Canis lupus familiaris: one gene and its partners. The protein of the gene in region 2 binds, or shares a complex with, the protein of the main gene of each other region. Links are inferred from orthologs where the notes say so. Each region holds a gene or a part of one and is shown on either strand. Other genes may lie near its edges.

The links. The genes of interacting proteins can lie anywhere in the genome.
Region 1: MAP3K20 (region 2) and MAPK14 share a complex: the UniProt entries of both Homo sapiens proteins name them as parts of the signaling complex. The link is inferred for Canis lupus familiaris from reciprocal best matches to the Homo sapiens genes MAP3K20 and MAPK14.
Region 3: MAP3K20 (region 2) and PKN1 share a complex: the UniProt entries of both Homo sapiens proteins name them as parts of the signaling complex. The link is inferred for Canis lupus familiaris from reciprocal best matches to the Homo sapiens genes MAP3K20 and PKN1.

The regions. Positions count from the first base shown.
Region 1 is NC_049233.1:5,325,761-5,331,875, reverse strand, and holds the start of MAPK14 (mitogen-activated protein kinase 14), read right to left. Parts: upstream 4,122-6,115; coding exon 4,006-4,121; intron 1-4,005. Other genes in the region: SLC26A8 (testis anion transporter 1), read left to right, coding at 4,938-4,992. UniProt on the Homo sapiens protein: Serine/threonine kinase which acts as an essential component of the MAP kinase signal transduction pathway.
Region 2 is NC_049257.1:17,820,208-17,826,314, reverse strand, and holds the end of MAP3K20 (mitogen-activated protein kinase kinase kinase 20), read right to left. Parts: intron 5,009-6,107; exon of another isoform or gene 4,556-5,008; intron 4,090-4,555; coding exon 3,472-4,089; coding exon of another isoform or gene 3,389-3,471; exon of another isoform or gene 3,256-3,388; intron 2,274-3,255; coding exon 2,191-2,273; 3' UTR 1,813-2,190; downstream 1-1,812. UniProt on the Homo sapiens protein: Stress-activated component of a protein kinase signal transduction cascade that promotes programmed cell death in response to various stress, such as ribosomal stress, osmotic shock and ionizing radiation.
Region 3 is NC_049241.1:48,578,325-48,584,484, forward strand, and holds the start of PKN1 (serine/threonine-protein kinase N1), read right to left. Parts: upstream 4,122-6,160; 5' UTR 4,107-4,121; coding exon 4,050-4,106; intron 1,669-4,049; exon of another isoform or gene 1,573-1,668; coding exon of another isoform or gene 1,534-1,572; intron 572-1,533; coding exon 268-571; intron 1-267. UniProt on the Homo sapiens protein: PKC-related serine/threonine-protein kinase involved in various processes such as regulation of the intermediate filaments of the actin cytoskeleton, cell migration, tumor cell invasion and transcription regulation.

The DNA of each region.
Region 1 (6,115 bases), on a different chromosome or scaffold from region 2:
AGAGAAATCAAAAACAGAGTACTCTTCAATATCAAGAAATTAAGCTGGCAGAACTGAAAAGCCAGAGGTTCAGGATACCCTCATTTTAAAATGGGAGCCAGAGAAAAGCATCAGAATCCATCAAAATGGGATTCAATTAGAAAAATTACTTTATAACAAATTTGACTGAATTATTTTTTTTAATTCTTTATGTTTATATATCAATAACATAAATATTTGCAATTATCTTTAAATATCTATTTGTTGTTGGTACTGGCAACATGCAGTGAACCATCTTGCTTTCGGTTACAAAGAAAAGCAAATGGGAAGAAAGTTCAGTAAGGGCCTACTATCGTCACCAGAAAAGTAAAGGGCAGGCCCCTCTTACTGATTAGGAGTCAAGAAAGTCATCTTTGCATAGTCAATAATGATGTATTTTCATTTATCTGTGCCCTGGCTCATCCTAAAAGAAAAGAATAAAAGATTTAAAACAGTGAATGGCTATTAACACTAAACCTTAGCTTTGTTTATTATATTCATGTATATACAGTCTTATTCCACAGAGCATTTAGGAAGCTGGATTTGATTTCTTAGTAAGTTTTGCCATCCTCTCACTAAAAAATCTTGCATAGGCTAAATACACTCGTGATAAATATAAACTACACAGTAAAATGCCTAGAACAGTAAGCAATCCATAAAATGTAGTTTTTTTATTCACATTAGACTTAGCTTGACGAGGGAATGGATTATCTCACTGTCTTGCTCAGCACTCTATCTCATGAAACCTAGCCCATTATCTAGTCCGTAGCTGGTATTCAGTGTTGTTGAATCAACAAAGGACTATGACTTAAGAGTATTTTTTATTTTATGGCTACCTATTTTATGGCTACCAGGGCCCCACCTCCTCTAATCAACAGCAAGGGTCTGGAAAAACCATACCCAGAGGAAAGGCATTTAAGTTCCTGTTTATATTTCCTTAAACTCACCACAAAGAGTCCCTCCTTCTGTCCCAAAACCAGAAAATCAATGCTTTGCAACAAAGTATTCTTAAACAATTTTGCTTCATTTCCCCTCACAGACAATGCAACAAAGTTCCTTAAAACTGCAAGACTTATTTAGTTCCCTTTACCTTTTAAAAAGGAAAGGTATATTATAAAACCTTATCAATTTTTTAAAAAATTGAAAAATTAAAAAAATAAAACCTTATCAATTTTCAATTTCTAGTCTGATTCCTTGATCTTGGATTCATAGCATACAGGCTGCTGCTTGCCTTTTTACTGTAGACTTAGTGAAAATTAAAATGAGAAAATAGGCTTAACATAAAAAACTTTTAATATACATCAAAGTATATCACACTTAGGAGCAATCAAATTAGGAAACTGACAGATATTTGCGTGAGGTTGCATTCCTTAAAATGCTTTCAGAGATTCTTTTTCGGAACAGACTTCAGATCCAGTTCTACAAGTCACACAAGAAATTCTGTCATTACTTTATAGTTATAACTCCTATTTGACCTAAAACAAGACCAACCTGAATGCCTAATCTTTCTCGCCAGACTTGAGTACAAATTCTCTAAATTATTTGAATTCAGCTTGATTTTCTTATTCCCTAAAATCAAATCTGTTCTTAAAGGATGATGGCAGTGAAAAATAACACAGGCTCCAGAATGCTGTAAGAGAAATTAAAAAAAAAAAAAAAAAAAAAGTTTGCTGCAACACCCAAAACACTGCTAAGAATCTGAAAGAACTGAAAGAATAACTTCAAATAATTCTGAATGAGATGCCACTTACTTATGTATATCTAAATTCTGATATTTTCAATCCAAAATCAATTATATTTGCCATAGTCAACTGACACACATAAGATGCATTCTCTTCCACCAATATACCATATGTCACACTTTAAATCCCTCAACAGAAATACTACTAAAAACAAATGAATGGGCTCTGCCTCCTTGTAAAGACACATAAGAAACTTAACAGGGGCTGTCTCAGAGGAAAGGAATAGCACAGTTGGAGAACAAGAAAGGAAAGGATACCTTTCGTTAAATATCCTTTTACGCCTTTTGAATTTTATACAATGTGTATATAATTCTATACATATTTTTTAAAATATGTTTAACAAAATCACTTCCAAGTGTCAGATATTTCTGGCTTCTGTAAGCCAAAAAAGTATAGTACTAAGGAAATGTAAAGGTCATTTTTATGATACTTCACTCTAAATCTGAATCTGCAGTTCCAGGACAGAGCTATTCATACCAACAGTAGGAAGACCTTGCAAGCAGTTGTTTTCAGGTCCACTAAACTCCCCATAGTTGAGCTATTCTGCTGTATCATTTCATTAAAGTTTAAACATCATTGGAAACAGAAACTTGGTACTACGAAAATTAATGTCAATTATGACATAACAGAATGAAAAAGAGTGGTAAAATAATAAGCTATTAAAGGAGCCATGATCCAAATATATCTCTGAAAATTTGCAAATCAATCACACATATAGATGGATACAGTAAAATGTTGCAAATTCCCTTAAAACGTAAACTGCCATATTATAAAAATGAGGAAAAGATGTCAAGCACGGGACCATCAGCAAGATGAACTCACGCAGCTTGAACTAGAAAATGCAATATGATCTGTTGCTTGACACAATTGCACAATCTCAATTACCCAGAAGATTCTAGCAAACAGGAAATTCATGATGTGACTTTAAGAAACACAAGAATTATAAAGATTAACACATCCAAAAGTCTGGAATTCGTTTCCCTCACCCCCACCCCCACCCTCCCAAAATCTTATGGAGCCCTTTTCAAATGATTCACATGAATACAGGAATTAGTTTCAGATCAGCAGCTCTCAAGTTACAGTAACTCTAAAATATGGTGTGTAATACCTAAACTAGTGAAATATTTTAGATCCAAGAATTTTATTGGATCGATTTAATTTAAAACACAGTGTGAATTAAAGCTGAGAAGTGTCTCTCCCTTCCTTTGCTATATATTCCCTATCCTTATGAAAACCATCGTGTACCTCAGGCTACAAATGTAGATCAGTTCCCTGCGAACTCTCTAAAGAAGTTTAAAAACACAATATTCACAAGATGTACTGCAATTAAGAAATACTTACAATACCTCCCCAGATTGCTCATGATTCTTTGATCTTGAGCGCGTCCAACGGATCTGAATCTCACTTGCTCCAAGTGAAAAAACTGTTTTTGCCAAACAATACTTAAATGAGCAGTGGTATGTGACTAATCAGTGAAGCCGCCAGTTTCTCAAGCTGCAGTGTTCTTGCAGGCACTACCACCCACCCCCACTCAGCGAAAAGGAAATACGCTTTCAACAGAATCGGAAACACACAACTCAAGCTGGCACTAGGCTGGCCGAGATAAAGTCGGTATTTTCGGTTCTTTGGGTCGCTGCTAATGCAAGTGCGAATTCGAAAAGAATGCCTCTCGAAATGAGATTTCGAAAGAGGTCTGCAAAAAAAAAAAAAAAAAAAAGCCAGGGCAGAAAGCCCTTGGTCGTCAGTTTTGTTCCGACGCTCGCAGTCTCCCGTAGAGCTTGGCCCTTCTGCTTCTCCCTGCAGCCCCCCCGGGCTTGTCTGCTTGGAGGGCAGGCTCCCGCGCGCCCAGAGTGGCTGCACCTCCGGAGAGGCTCCTTCGGCTCGAGGCTGGCAGGGAGACACCCCCCACCCCCGGAGAGACGCCCCGGCCTCTGTGCCAGCCCCCCTCCCCCGAGCAGCCACCCCCCCAGAAGGGATTGCGCAGGGTGCGAGGCAGGGCCGAGCTCCAGCACCACCGCCCACCGTGGACCTGCATCCTGCACACAGCCGACCGCCTCCCTGGGGGTGCAGAGTGAGGGGTGCAAGGGGGTCCCGGGCGTGCAGCACAGGGGTCGAATGGGCAACGATGCCCTCCCCCAGAGAAAATTCCTACCGCTTGGTGCATCGCTGAGCTGTGTGGGCAGGCCTGGTTCTGGGGTGCTGAGGCCACCAAGCCCGCCGCAGACCCAAGCCCGGTGACACTCACCACACGGAGCCGTAGGCGCCGGAGCCCACCGGGGACAGGTTCTGGTAACGCTCGGGCACCTCCCAGATTGTCTTATTCAGCTCCTGCCGGTAGAACGTGGGCCTCTCCTGAGACATCTTCCAGCGGCGGCCGCGGGGCTAGGAGGTGGCCCTGAGGGGCCCCGCCTGCGCCCGCACCCGCACCCGCTCCCGCTCCCGCTCCCGGGCCCTCGTTGCCCGCCGGGCCGGGCGGGGACCCGGAGCTGGCAGTCGGCGCAGGTGCGGCAGACGCGACCCCGCCGACTCCCGCGCGCGCGGCCCCTGTCAGCCGCAGCTGCCGGGCGAGCCCGGTGAAGGGCAGGGGCAGGCTGCGGGGCTCAGGGCTGCGCCCACCACGCTCTCCCTGCACCCTCTCCCCGACCAGGCCGACCCCGGGCTGCGCCGCGGAACTGCGGCTCCAGCTGCAGCGCCCGCTCAAGTTCCAGTGATCGCCGTTCCAGAGCCAGCGAACAGGAGTCGCTAGCCGTACTCTCGCGAGACCAGCTCCCGGGACTCTCCGCGAGCCGAGATTTTACCCAATATGGAACCTGCCCACGGGAGGGGGTGGACTACCGGAGAGGATGGGAGGAGCACTTCTCGCGAGAAAAGGGCAACAGCTGGAGACCAGAGGCAGGAACTCTCGGGGACTGCTCTTAAGGGCGCGAAGGCGGACCCGGGAAAGGGAGGGACAGGCAGGCAACGTATGCCGCGTGCGCCCCACCGTGGTCGGCGGGGCAAACGCCCGGCTCCGTGGCGGGAGGCGACGGCGACTAATAGGGTGTCGGGAAAAGAGCCAAAAGATCTTTGAACTGCCGGTAGTCACCAGCAGCCGAGCATCTGCTCAGCAGAACCTCCAACTTCCAAGAAATACTTACATTTGGAAAAGGAAGGTTCCAGCCAGAAAGCCGTTATTCCATGTTCGGGGACATACGGCTTAATCTTCGGAACTGTGACGGACCCTATCCCGAAAGCAAGTATTAGCTCTACGTTAAGTCTGAGGTTTTCCACCCAAACTCTCCTAACGGTCTTTAAACGTTTATGTGCAAAAGAACACTTGGAGTGTTAAAAAAAAAAAAAAAAAAAAAAAGCCAAGTCCCAGGACCCACAGGGAGTCTAAGTGGATAGGTCGGTGATAGGCGCCAAGAACGCGCATTTTTATAATATGCTCCAGGCAGTTCTGATTCAGGAAAGTCTCCCGCATCCCCCTTGGAGAAGGATTTTTGAAAAGAGTACTTCTGAGGGTTTGAAACTGAATCCTGCTCTGAAGCTTGATTCTTGCCTCAGGTTAAGGAGAGCAAGGCAGAGGGTGTCCTATTAGGCAAGTCTATTGACCTCTCTTAGACTCTAGTTCCAGCTTCTGCAAAAGTAATTCCTGCCTTACATCCGCGCCTAATAGGGTTACCTGTAAAGCTGAACAAGATAGTAAGTGTGAGTGAGCAAGATACTATATAACCATGCCTACAGCCACTGTAACCAACTTATTCCTTTGTTAAAGTTTGTTACAATGTCTCTTAGAAGTAACTGGGTCCAAGCCAGGACACCTCTCAACCCTTCCCGTGATTATTCTCTTTCGTGTCGTGCATCCTTTAGAATGCTCAGATTTTGCATATCTTGTCCCAGCACCTAGCACAGTGCCTAGAATATAATAGGTACCCCATAAATATTTATTGAACAAATTATGAATAATGACCATGATCTCAACTTAGGAGAGAGTGCAGGATCCTCAGTTCTCCTCAAGGAAAAACAAAAATAAAAACCAGAGTCATGGGTCATTCCTGGAAAGCTTTTCTTGGAGGATCCGATGTGGCTTAGTCTGGATTCTCTCGCCTATGAAGACATGCTGCTTGAAAATGTTCCAAGGCTACCTGCAGTTTAGGGAGCCCTCCAAGAAGTAATGAAGGTTGAAGGAAGAGGCGAGAAGCAAAAATGTGATTGGAAAGAAATGGCGGGTGGGAGTGGGCAATCAAGGTGATGAGTGGATGGATACAAGGGAGGAAACTCGGCAGTAGGAATGAACCTAAGGAATTCATGATTATCCACCAAATTGGGATAGTGAAGTGGGAGTGACTGAAAGGGTAAAAATGAACTAAACA
Region 2 (6,107 bases):
TTTTAATTTTTTTTTTTTTAAATTTTCATTTATTTATGATAGTCACAGAGAGAGAGAGAGAGGCAGAGACACAGGCAGAGGGAGAAGCAGGCTCCATGCACCGGGAGCCCGACGTGGGATTCGATCCCGGGTCTCCAGGATCGCGCCCCGGGCCAAAGGCAGGCGCCAAACCACTGCGCCACCCAGGGATCCCTATATTTATTTCTAAGGTAGTCCTCGATAACCTCCAGTTTTCCTTTACAGATTTTGGGATTTTCGGACTATTCTTTAGAGGGGGCACCTGAGTGGCTCAGTTGGTTAAGCACGTGACTCTTGATCTCAGCTCAGGTCTCAGGTCTTGATCAGGGTCAGAGTTCAGGAACCCAAGCCCCTCATTGGGTTCCAGGCACAGCATAGAGCCTACTTAAAAAAAAAAGACTCAGGTTACTTCTATAGAATTGCTAATTCAGTGACTTTGTAAGGAGCAAAATATCTTACTTTGGGCTATGCTTGGAATAATGACTACCTCTGTGGTAGCAACCAACATTGATTTGGTGGTTTCAGATTCTATCAGAAGCCTACTTAAGGACCACTAAACCCCCACATCTAGAGATGCCCAACTTAAGAGAGACTTTAATTTTTTCTACTGTAATTTTTTTCTTTTCAAATATCCGTTGTTTTTTTTTTTTTTTTTAACTTTAGTCTCTTGGAAATTATATAGTTGGCAACTTAGTTGGATGGGGAAAAAAAATCCTATTAATCCTAGTTGTATTCTTATATTCATCTTTCAACCTGGCCAGCAACTCCTAATGATGTTTATTAGAGGGAAAAAAAAAAAAGAACATCCAACTCTTATTTTTGCTTTACAACCGAGAAACAGATTCCTGATTTTGGTTTTGACTGGGAGCATTGATGCTGACAAGTATTTTTCCAAGAGACCTTCCAAAGTGGTCAGATTTGTGGGCTGTTGGAATAACCACTGTGTGGTCGCTAACTAGGACTGAGCTCATGAAGTGATTTCACTACCAGCCTGGATTCTCTAACCCAAAGCCCAAGAAAGCTAGAAGTGAAGAAAACAGCCTGTAATGAGCAATCATTTGCGTAACACTTTTTAAATGAGTCTTAAGTCATTCTCCAGAATGCCTTTTTTGTTTAATAATTAAAGCCATACTCTGTTCCTTTCAGAGTGACTTAGCTAAGCCTCTGTTCTGTGTTCGGGCACTTAACCAAAAGTTCTAATCAAAGAAAATATTTTATTGCTTATTTGGAAGCACCATGCTATTAAGATAGCATACTTTCTATTAGTCTATTTTTCTTTAAATTTGAACTCAAAGGACAAGAGGAAAATAATAATTGAAAACAGACTGTAGTTGCCATAAGCTTTGTGAGAAAGGATCACTGTGGAGCTTACCACCCTAGAGACATTGGTTATGCGGATGGAAAAGAGTACTTCACCCTCTGATTTTACCACTCCCCATTGCTCTTGCTTATAAATGCAGATGGCAAACGATACGACTTAAAAAACCAAGTTGTCGAATCAAGAATCACCGTTTAGGTTACAACTTCCCTCATAAAACAAAGGTCATTTCCTATAACCTTGGCTTTAATGCTTCCCAAATAGTTTCCCCCACCAGGCCCCAGGCACTGTATTTGAGCAGGGCAGCTGCTCTGGGAGTATACACTCCAACTTGATGACCGGTTTCTATCAAAGAGAACTCAACCCCATGGAATTACCAGTGTGGCACTTGAATTTCTACAGAGCATTGAGAAGCCTGGGCAGGGCAAAGGACACTTGCTATTCAGGGTTAGTGAATATTGAACAGAATCTCAGAATATATTGAAAGTCAAGTTTATTTATTTGACATATAAGGCTGTTACCTCTGGACTTTTTGATTTGTAAAATATGAAGCATTTCATCAAGTTGGATCTCACAGTTCCTGTCCCCTACTGCAGGCAGTTTCCTCCCACCTGCACCAGCCCTTTGCCCCCAGCTGCTTAGAGCTTTCTTGCTGCAAGGATGGTATTTACTGTCTTGTGCTAAAGAGGATGTTGGTGATTTTCACATTTCTTTGGCTTATGGCTTGTGACGTTATCACCCTGCCCTGTGTCTGCTTTCTTTCAGATTTTAGATTTCTGACATTCCAAGAGGTCTTTATGGACTGTTGTTTTTCCCTCTTTGCTCCTCCTTTGGTAAAATGTAGAAGAGAATATTCAAAAGCAGTCCCTGGAGAGCTTTGGGAAAGCAGTAACCACACATCTCCTAGGCAATTTTAGATCTTTGGTTTCTGATGAGCCTTAATGAAAGAGATATGCGTCATAATCAACATTAAGTTCAATAACTTTTTTTATTGCCTAAAAATGATAAGCCAAATCACTTCAGCTCTGACCATGATAAAAATCCAAATGCATTTCTAAAATAAATACTAACCAACAGTGTCAGGACTAGACTTGGGTAAGGAGAGGCACTTGCCTCGGGCACAGAATTTCAGGAGGCCTCAAGAAAAACATCAAGAAACCCCCAACACCTCAGTAATCAAGATAAATTATATTTTAATGCAACATTTTTAAAATTAATGCACAAATTCACGATGAACAAAATATCAAAATTTTAAATAGGATCAGTAATAGTGCTTTGCCAAGCCATATTGGAGCCTTAGACAAGGGGAAAAATCAGTAATACCAATCCTATATTTATGTAAAATTTTGATTTTTTGTTTATTAGAATTTTTTTGCATCAATTTTCATTTATTTAAATATTGCATTAGGATATTATGTCTCTTGATTACTGAGCTTTCTGGTGTTCCCTTAAATTTTGCACTCAAGACAAGGGCCCCACTTAACATCACCCTAGTTCAGACCCTGTTAACCAGAATGGCAGTGTTAGGGAAATAAAGTGGCGTAGCCCCTCCTCTCAAAATGTCAATTCAGGGGTGGGGGGATATGTATAGTTATGTTTAAAGTCTAGTTATCATCTTTGGGGAACCACATCCGTAATTTTGGCCCTGGTTTGGCCAAAAATGGTAGTCTCCATTAGAAAGCATTTCCTAAATCCAAAAATGGAAAAGTTGTCTTTTTGTTAATTCTGTCTGAAGGTATCATATTATCAAAATCCATTACATCTTAAAAAGAAGAAGAAGAAAGAAGAAGAAGAAGAAGAAGAAGAAGAAGAAGAAGAAGAAGAAGAAGAAGAAGAAGAAGAAAGAAGAAGAAAGAAGAAGAAGGCAATGAAGAAAGAAGAAAGAAAGAAAGAAAGAAAGAAAGAAAGAAAGAAAGAAAGAAAGAAAGAAAGAGAAAGAAAGAAAGAAAGAAAGAAAGAAAGAAAGAAAGAAAGAAAGAAAGAAAGAAAGAAAGAAAGAAAGAAAGAAAGAAAAGAGCAGCCTGTTTAGGAAAACTCCTCTAGTTCAAGTCATCAAAAGTTTCTCCTTCCACGGTAGTTTCCTCTGGCTCTTTCCCTGTTAGTCTTGGCAGGAGAGGGCCTGTGAGGTTTCTTACGGTATTCCACTTTTGTCCATCCTCCTTCGCTGACTTTGCTCTCCTCTTCATTGGCTCTTGAGTCGGTCTCCGTGTGTAAAGGCATCCCTGGTATGGTCCTGGGTTGGTGGCAGTCATTTGGGCTTCTCTTGAGGTCAGGTGACTGCTGCGTGTTGAGTGCTGACTGAGAAACCCTGTAGAATTTTCCAGAATATCTTTCTCGTGAAGGAGTGGAATGCTGACTCTTCCCGCTATACCTTCCCCTAGGAGAAGAATTGAGTGATACGCTGCCACGATCATATTTGTTCTTGCTCCTACCTGAGTATCGACCTCTCTCTAAAGAGCTGTCAGTTGGAAGACTGGAAAAGCTACTGTCCCTGGAGTTGAGATGTAGAGAAGAGAAGTTTTTGGTTAGTCCGTACTGAGTAGGAGAGGAGCTTCTGGATTGGTTGATGGGTGTAATCTGTTGATACTTAATGGGCACCTGGGTCCGCCTGACAGCAGCAGCGTAGGAATCCTGATCATTGAAATATGGGAAGAATTGTGACCCCAGAATGGGGTTGCTCTGGGAACACTGTAGAGAAGTATTGGAAGCAATCTGCCGCATCCTCAGAGTATCCAGCCACTGGCGATCAGCACCTGCAGAGGAAATGGAAATGAGCATCTTTTAAGCCACAGTAAAGCTGCATGCCTAATTCATAAGCCTGTCTCAAGAGAATTCAAGCCTGCTTGGGATGCTCCGTGCTTTCCCATTCATAGAAATCCTAGGCGAGGGATAAGGACATATCCTTCATTATTATAAATTCTTCCTTAAAAATAAGGGCATTTGTACTGAGTCTATGCTTGGCATCGTTCCAGAGGCTTTACTGACATGATCTCATTCACTCCTCTCAGTAGTCTCAGGTAAGTGCTAATAATTTTACTCTGTAAACTAGGAGACTGAGGCTTGGGGAGGTCTGGTCGCTTGCCCAAGGTCACTCAGCTAATAATTCCAGGTCCTTCTGCATTTACAATCCCATCTTCTTCCCACTTAGCCACATCCTCACTTCTAGAAATTGCTGCTTGCGTGTGTTTGGATGGTAGGGGCATGTTTAGTAAACGAAAGGCTTTTTGCTAACGGGAACTTTTAAATCCTCAAGAACCCTAAATGCAGATAAAAGAAATTGGATTCCAGGGGTTGAGACAGCTGGGGATTGTCTGGGAGAAAGACAGCTCATGTCTCTAGAAGAGAGATTGTGAGGTTCAGGAATAAGATATGGGTTTTTTTTTCCATGAAAAATGAAGCCTCATGGCAGACAGGAAGAGAAGGTAAAAGAAAATGGTAAATAAACAAGAACCATTTAGGAAGCTCTGTTTCAGTGGATAAGCAAGTCACACCTTGGATCTTTACTGTCTTCCCCAGGGCCTGAGTCACATCTTTTGAGTTCCCTCCTAGTCCTCCCTGAGCTGTCCTCGCACGCTTGCCAGGAGGTTCTAGAGAGGAACAGAGCATGCTCACTCCTGTCTCCAGCAAGAAGCCCCTGCCTCACTGCTCCGCACAGGGGACCGCATCTTGGAGGTGAGTGACTTGTCCCAACACAGGTGACCTCTTGTGTCCAGACCCTCCTCACAGCTTCAACCAAGCCACAGTGCCTTCTTGCCTTCCCCTTGACTTCTCTAGAATTTTAGCTACTTTTTTTTTTCTTAAGATTTTATTTATTTATTCATGAGAGACACAGGCAGAGGGAGAAGCAGGCTCCCCGTGGGGACTCGATCCTGGATCCAGGGATCATGACCTGAGCCAACGGCGATGCTCAACCGCTGAACCACCCAGGCGCCCCTGAAATTTTAGCTTCTACTGGAGCCTTGGCTTTGTTGGTGGTCCGCCCCCTCATGGGGGCCGAGGGCACAGGGGGTGGGGGGGTGGGGGGGGAAGCTGCCCATATTCTGGCCCTCATGGCCGACTTTGGCCTGCTCAGATGCAGAGGTGTCGTGGTGAGGTATGGACAAGTTGCTCAGTTTCTGGCCAGAGCAATCTGAGGGGTCGTCTGCGGGGTGGGGGGGGGGGGTAAGTCTCTCTCACCCCTCCACACCAGAGCAGGAAAGGCATGGGCCCCTCCTGTCCTCTGCTCATTGCCATTTCTTTATACGATGGCTATGACTGTGGAGGAGCGAGGCCCAGGTAAGGCGACATAGTGAGGACGGCAGAGTGGAGGCAAGGAAAGGTTTGCTCCTCGCCCTTCATGCGGGTGAGCCAGCTTCTCTCCCTGCACTCGAGCCCAGCCGTCTTCGGGGCGTCTTCTCCAGGAGATAGCACATTTGATTATAGTTAAAACCCGTGGTTCAGAACTTTCGAGTGCCTACATCGCTGGTCCCTCCCCCCAGTTTCTGACTCTTCTGGTCTGGGGTTGGACTTGAGAATTTGCATTTCTAACAAGTTCCTATTGGTTCTGAGGCTGCCATTCCTGGGACTACACTTTGGTCCATTTGGGAGAAAGCTGGTGGAGGTTGGATTTCCTGTTACTTGCAGCTAAAACATATATCCTAACTGATGCAGGTGGTATCCTTTGAGTTTTTACATCAAAAGGGAAATAAAAATACGAGGAGGAAGGAAGAGGGGAGGCAAACCAGGTAAAACTGGGGTAAGCCGAAGGGAGGTCACTCCCTCCTTCTATCCT
Region 3 (6,160 bases), on a different chromosome or scaffold from region 2:
AAAAAAAAAAAGCATCCTTGGGGGTTGTCCGGATGTTGTTACAACTGTGTGAGTCTTCAGATACTCATGTGACACCATGTAGGGCTGTTGGTGTTTGGCTGCTGGTGGTGTGATGGTGTTAAGCTTTCCCTGGGTGTTGGTTGGTTTTTGGTGTTTTTTTCTGATTGTGTGTGGAGGCCAGTGGGGACAGCTGGGCTAGGCTCAACCCTGGCGGTTGAACCCCCGAAGTCCCGCAGCCTCTCAACCCTGGAGAAGCCCCCCACTCACCTCGGGCAGCAGCCGCAGGGTCAGGCAGCACCACATGGGCGTGCAGCTCCTGCAGCTGCTGGTGCAGCAGGTCCAGGCGGCGGGAGGAGCCGCGCAGCAGCAGCTCCACGGGGCCGAGGCTGCGGCCCAGGTCGGTGGTGGCCCGCCGCAGGTTCTCGGCGCCCTCCTTCAGCTTCAGTTCCTTGCGGATCTCGCGCCGCAGCCGCTCCCGCTCCAGCTCCAGCTGCTGCTGCACCCCCGGAGCCGCCAGGTCCGCACCTGCCAGGCCCAGCTGCTCCAGCAGGGACCAGCTGCGCGGCTCGCTCTGCGGGAGACGGAGCGCGGTCAGTGGGGCCCGGACACCGCAGCGCCCAATGCGCTCAGCCAGCTTGGCCTGGCCTCCTCGCGGCCGGGGGCTTCCAAAACATGCTCCGACCCTCCAAGCCGGGAGGTGAGACGTGGTGCTGTCTCTGCTTCCTGACTGCCCTAAACTGTGGGGTCCCAAGGGCATGGGCTTCCTCCTCCTCTGGCCCCTGAGGCGAGGGGACCCCATAAGTACTGTCCCGTCTCCCTTCATCTATTTCTTATGCAGTAGGATTCTGGAGGACAGGCACCACTATCTCACCAGTGTGCCCCCCCAAATGAAGAGGTCCCTAAATTCAGGCCCTATCTCCCATTGCCCCCCCCAAGAAGGTCCTGAGGGCAGACCCCTTGTCACTTCTGCTGTCCCCCTAGGGTAGGAGGTCCCAAGGGTAGGCCCCAACTCCCCTCTACTGTCCCTAAAACTAGGCCCCAAGGGCAGGCTCCATTGTCCCTCTGCTGCTCCTCAAACAAGGAAGTATCAGGACAGGCCTCTGCTGCCAACCCCTCCCCAAAACAATGGGGTCAAGATCCTTTGAGCAGGCCCCCTTCCTCTCTGCTATGCCCTCACGCTGGGAGGTGCCAAGGGCAGGTCTCGTCTTCCCTCTGCTATAACCCCAAACTACGTTCTGAGGACGGGCCCCACCTCTCTCCTGTTGTACCCTCAAACTAGGAGGTCCTGGCAAGCTCTGTCTCCCCTGCTCTCATCCTCTACAACCGGGCCCTAAAGAGCAGAGCCCTGTCTCCTTCCTTCTCTATTTCCCCGACCTGGGAGCCTCAAAAAAACCCCACGTATTTTCATCTTCAAAACAGAAAACTCCTAAACCCATCTCTCCTTGGTCCAAAATCGAGAGGTACCGAGGGCAGGACCTCCGGTCTGTGTCACCGGGGTCCTCTCTGGCCCCCCACCCCGACCCCAGCCCCGACCTCCAGCTCCTGGTCCAAAGGGGGATTGGCCTCCGCCATCCTGGGTCCGGGCTGAGGGCCCCGCCCTCTTCCTGAACCTCAGCCCTCCCAGGGCCTCTTGACCGCCACTTCCTCTTTCCTGCTAGCTCCCAGCATCCCCTGCGTGGGGCCAGCTCTGGGGCTTTGGGGCACCTAGAGGACCTTCCCTCCCTGTGCCCTCTCCGGGACTAAGCCTGACTTCTCAGGAGGCAACCAGGGACAGCCCTCCCTCGACATCCTAGGAGGTTGCTAAGGTGTGCACACACCTCACATGCTCGCTAGTGTAGACATGGAGACCAACCTCCTTTGAGTATATGCAGGCTCCAGGGGCTACCCTAGGTGTATACACCCTCTCGTGTACCTATAGGTGTGTGCACAAAACACAGGCAGGCACGTGTGTGCCCACCCTGTGCCTACCCCATGCACACAGATACACACAAGCCCGCCAGAGAGGCTTCTATGGCCAGCCCCCTTCCTGCTGACGCAGGCAGTCCCTACTTCCGGCTTCCTCTCAGTCTGGTCACCCACTGCTGTAACCACAGGTAGGGCCCAGCCAGGCCAGGGCCACCTCTCTGAGCCCTACATCATGAGGAGACAGTGCTGGAGGGCTGGGTTAAGAGTACCCACAAACCAGTGGCCCACTAAAAGCCAAGTATGACTATTAATAATAAGAAGAGTAGTTTTTAGGAGTTCTGCTGAGGTCACCTAATGCGAGTTCATGAGGTGGGTACTGTCATCACCCCATTTTCAAGACAAGGATACCAAGGCCTGGAGTGGTGATGTCATAACTTGCTCTGAGGCCCCACAGCCAGCAGGAGGAAGGGCTGGGATTTACTTTATTTTTTTTTAAAGATTTTATTTATTTATTCATGAGCAACACAGAGAGAGAGACCGAGAGAGAGGCAGAGACACAGGCAGAGGGAGAAGCAGGCTCCATGCAGGGAGCCCGACGTGGGACTCAATTCCGGGTCTCCAGGATCACGCCCCGGGCTGCAGGCAGCGCCAAACCGCTGCGCCACTGGAGCTGCCCAAGGGCTGGGATTTAAAACAGGAGTGCCCAGAATCTGCTCACCCTGTCCAAGTGTCAGGCCTGGCACTGAATGACAGTCCCCACTGGGGGACCCATTGCACAGATGAGGAAAGTCCTTGTTGGCTCCCAGCCAAACCAGAGGGCAGCTGTCCCCAGCAAGGGTTCAGCTGAGAGTGTCACTCTCACCATCCTACCAACCCATCACATGAATCCTGAGCCACTGCCACTATTCTTCCCTACTCTCCAGGCGAGGAAACAGGCTGAGAGAGGTGACAGTAGCAGTTCGGGGTGGGGGAGGTTATCCCCACACACACCTCCAGGGCCACTGAACAACATCCAGAAACGTTTTTGGTTGTCACAACTAGGGGTGGGGAGGATGTACTCCTGGCATCTTTTGGGTTGAGACTTGGGAACCTGATCAACATCCTAAGGTGCACCGGACAGCCCCCACCTCAAAGAATGATTTGGCCCCAAACATCAATAGCACTGATGTCAAGAAACCCTGCAATAAAGGACACAGATTCACACCCTGGGCTGCTGACCATGACCACCAGTAAGGATTTCTCAGCAGCTCCACCTGCAGAGCACAGGCCCATCTACATCTCTCCCTTTGGACTATGAACACCCTTGTAGACCCATTTTTTTGGTGGCAGGACCATGGCTCAGAGAGGCAAAGGCACTGGGTCCAGGACACACAGTGAGAAAGTGACAGAGCTGGAATTTAAACCCAAGTTCACCTAATACTACCAGCTGGTGACCAGTGCCCGCCTACCACCCAGCCCCATCCCATCCCTAGCAGGCAGAGCAGGGTACAGCCAGGGTCCAGGCCAGCTCAAATAGGGACAGTCCAGGCAGACAGGAAGAGAAGCTGAGGCCTGAGAACACGCAGAGCAGGGAGGGAAGGAGACAGGCCCAGCCTCCTGGGTTCTCTTCCCTTGGGTGACTCACTCCTACCCAGAGGGCAGAGGTGATCCCTGGGCCAGCAAGGCAAACCCACGAATCAGGAGCCTGGCCCAGCCTTGGAGAATCCCTGCTCCCCCACCTCCCACCTCCCACACGAGACCCAGGTCCAGAGGGTCCACCTCCCAGAATCCCCCCCTTCCCAGAGCAGCCAGGGCCCTAGACCCTCATGTCCGGAGATTTCAATGCTTTGGGCGTTTCCGGAATCTGGACAGGACATCCGTTTGCCGGACACAAAACAGACAGGCATACGTCGGGACAGACAGAGGGACAGGGTGGCAGGCCCAAGCAGGCACAAGGGATGACCAGGAGGGGGGAACAGAGTGGGGAAGACATGGGAGGGGGGACAACAGCACAGGTCCAGCCTCATTCCAGGAATCACGGCCTCCACCCGGGTCATGTTTCGCACATGCCAAGTGCATGCATGCGCCAGGGGATTCCTACAGAGCCCTCCCAGGGCTGGGGGTAGAGTCAGAAACCCCGGCCCACCCCAGCCCCAAGGTCTGACCTTATGTGATCGGCAACACCAGATACGCCCAGCTCCACGGCAAGGCTGACAGGCCATCAGCAGGACTGGGGTGGGGGACAGGGAGTCATGGGGGAGACACAGAGGGGATGGGGGCAGGTGCAGAAGGAGACGAAAACCCAGTTACACAGCAACCACAGGACAACAGAGGGATTTTGAGGCACTATTGAGGGCACCAGAGGCACAGGATGTGCCTCAGATTCTGAACCGAAGGTCAGAAGTCATTCTGGCCTGGCTTGTCACAGATGTGGAAGGTGAGTCCAAGGCTGTGATATTCACAAGGTGGTACACGGAGAACCTGGCTGGTGGCAGGTTGGTGCCAGGCTGTGTGTGTCTGCGTGACCCAGCCCTGCCACCCATGCCCAGGTAGTGTTCCAGGTCCAAGAGAATCCCCAGCCTGGGATAAGGTTCCACCTGGTAGCCCTGAGCGCGGCCACTGTGGGTCCCCCATTCCTCAACCTAATGAGGTGACTCTAGGACACTTCCGCCAACAGGTGCCAATCTGGGTGGCGTCCGGATCATCATAAAGCTCAGTCTGGAGGCGGGGGGCCGCCAGAGCTTTGTTGTGCGGGGGAGGGGCACGGACCGAACGGCCTCCTCCCCTCCGGGCCACTGCGCCAGGCACCTGCCCCAGGTGGAGCGGCACCTGCCGGGAACCGAACGCTGGGGTGGGGGAGAGGGAGTGCCGAGTCGAGCGGCGGGGGCGGCGGGCACCGGGACGCACAGCCAGCCACAGACACTGGAGTGGAGCCTCCGCCGCGCCCCCTCTAATCCTCGGGCAGGGGCGGAGCTTGGGGTGCAGCGGGGCCTTCCGGACCTCCCCGCTCCCCCTCGATGCATACCTCCACCTGCCGAAAAGGGGACCGCGCCCGCTCCACCGTGTTGGCCCGGGGAGGGGGCGCCGGGCACGCGGGAGGCCCCCGCCCGGGCCGACCCGGGCCGCGGGGGACCCGGCAACGCGCGGGCGGGGGTCCCCGGCGCTGGCCGGCCGCCGGGCGGCTGCGGACGCAGGTGCGCCTACCTGCACGGCGTCGCTGGCCATGTCCTCGCGCCGCCCGCCAGGGGTCCCCGCGCGGAGGGAGGGGCGGCGGGAGGAGCGCGCGTGCGCCCCGCGCGGGGCGGGGAAGGGGCGGGCGCGGCGCAGCCCCCGCCGGCGCGCGGCCCGCTCCGGCCTGCTCCGTCCGCTCCGGCCCCGCCTGGCCAGGCCGCCGCGTCCGCGCGCCGCGCCCTCCGGCCCCAGCGGCCGCCGGGCCGGGTCACGTGACCGCCGAGGTCGGCGCCCGGGGAGGGGGCGGGGCGGCGGGGGCGCGGCTCCCGGCGGCCCCCGGGGCTGCGGGTCCCGCCTGCGGGGCTCTGCGGGTCGGCGGCCGCGACCCCCTTGCCGGCTGCTCCCGCGCGTGCCTGGGGCCGCACCTCGCTCGGCCCCGGGGTGCCCCAGCTGAGCGCGCGGGAACCCGAAGGAAAGACTCAGCCACGTTAAAGCGGGGCGTGGCAGAGGCCTCCGGGCCTCCCGGGACCCCTCTGAAAACAAAAGCGATTCGCCTCCCCCGCCCCGCCCCCTCCTTTGCAAACTCGAGTCTCCTGGGAAGGATCCCCCGTTGCCTGCAGACGGGCTCTGGGCAGATCTGGGTTCAAATCCCAGCATCCCGTGCCTTGAGGGAGCCCCCACATCGTGAGCGCCTCAGCTGTGAGACTGGATTTACCAACCCACCCCTCTGGTGTCGATAAAATTAAGTGAGATCGTGCATGCCCAGGGTTGAGAAACTAGTAAGGACCCAATAAGTGTTAGCTGCTGTGGCTTTTAATGGGATTGCCCTTGCTATGAAAATAGCTTGAATCCCGGCTCTGTCACTGGCTCTGGCTGAGGGCCCTAAGGATCCTGTGGCCCGCTGAGACTCAGTTTTCCCTGTGATACGAGGCAGACCTTTTCTTCGGAGCTGTGGCATACAGGTGGGGGTCCATAAATGCAGGCTCGTGCCCAAGTGGAGGAGGAGAGTGGAGGCCTCCATGGAGCTTCTCCAGGGTCCCCGGAGTCTCCAGAGCGTGCAGCTTGGCTCTTGGCTGACCTCGGACTCCCTTAGAAACCGGGTGAG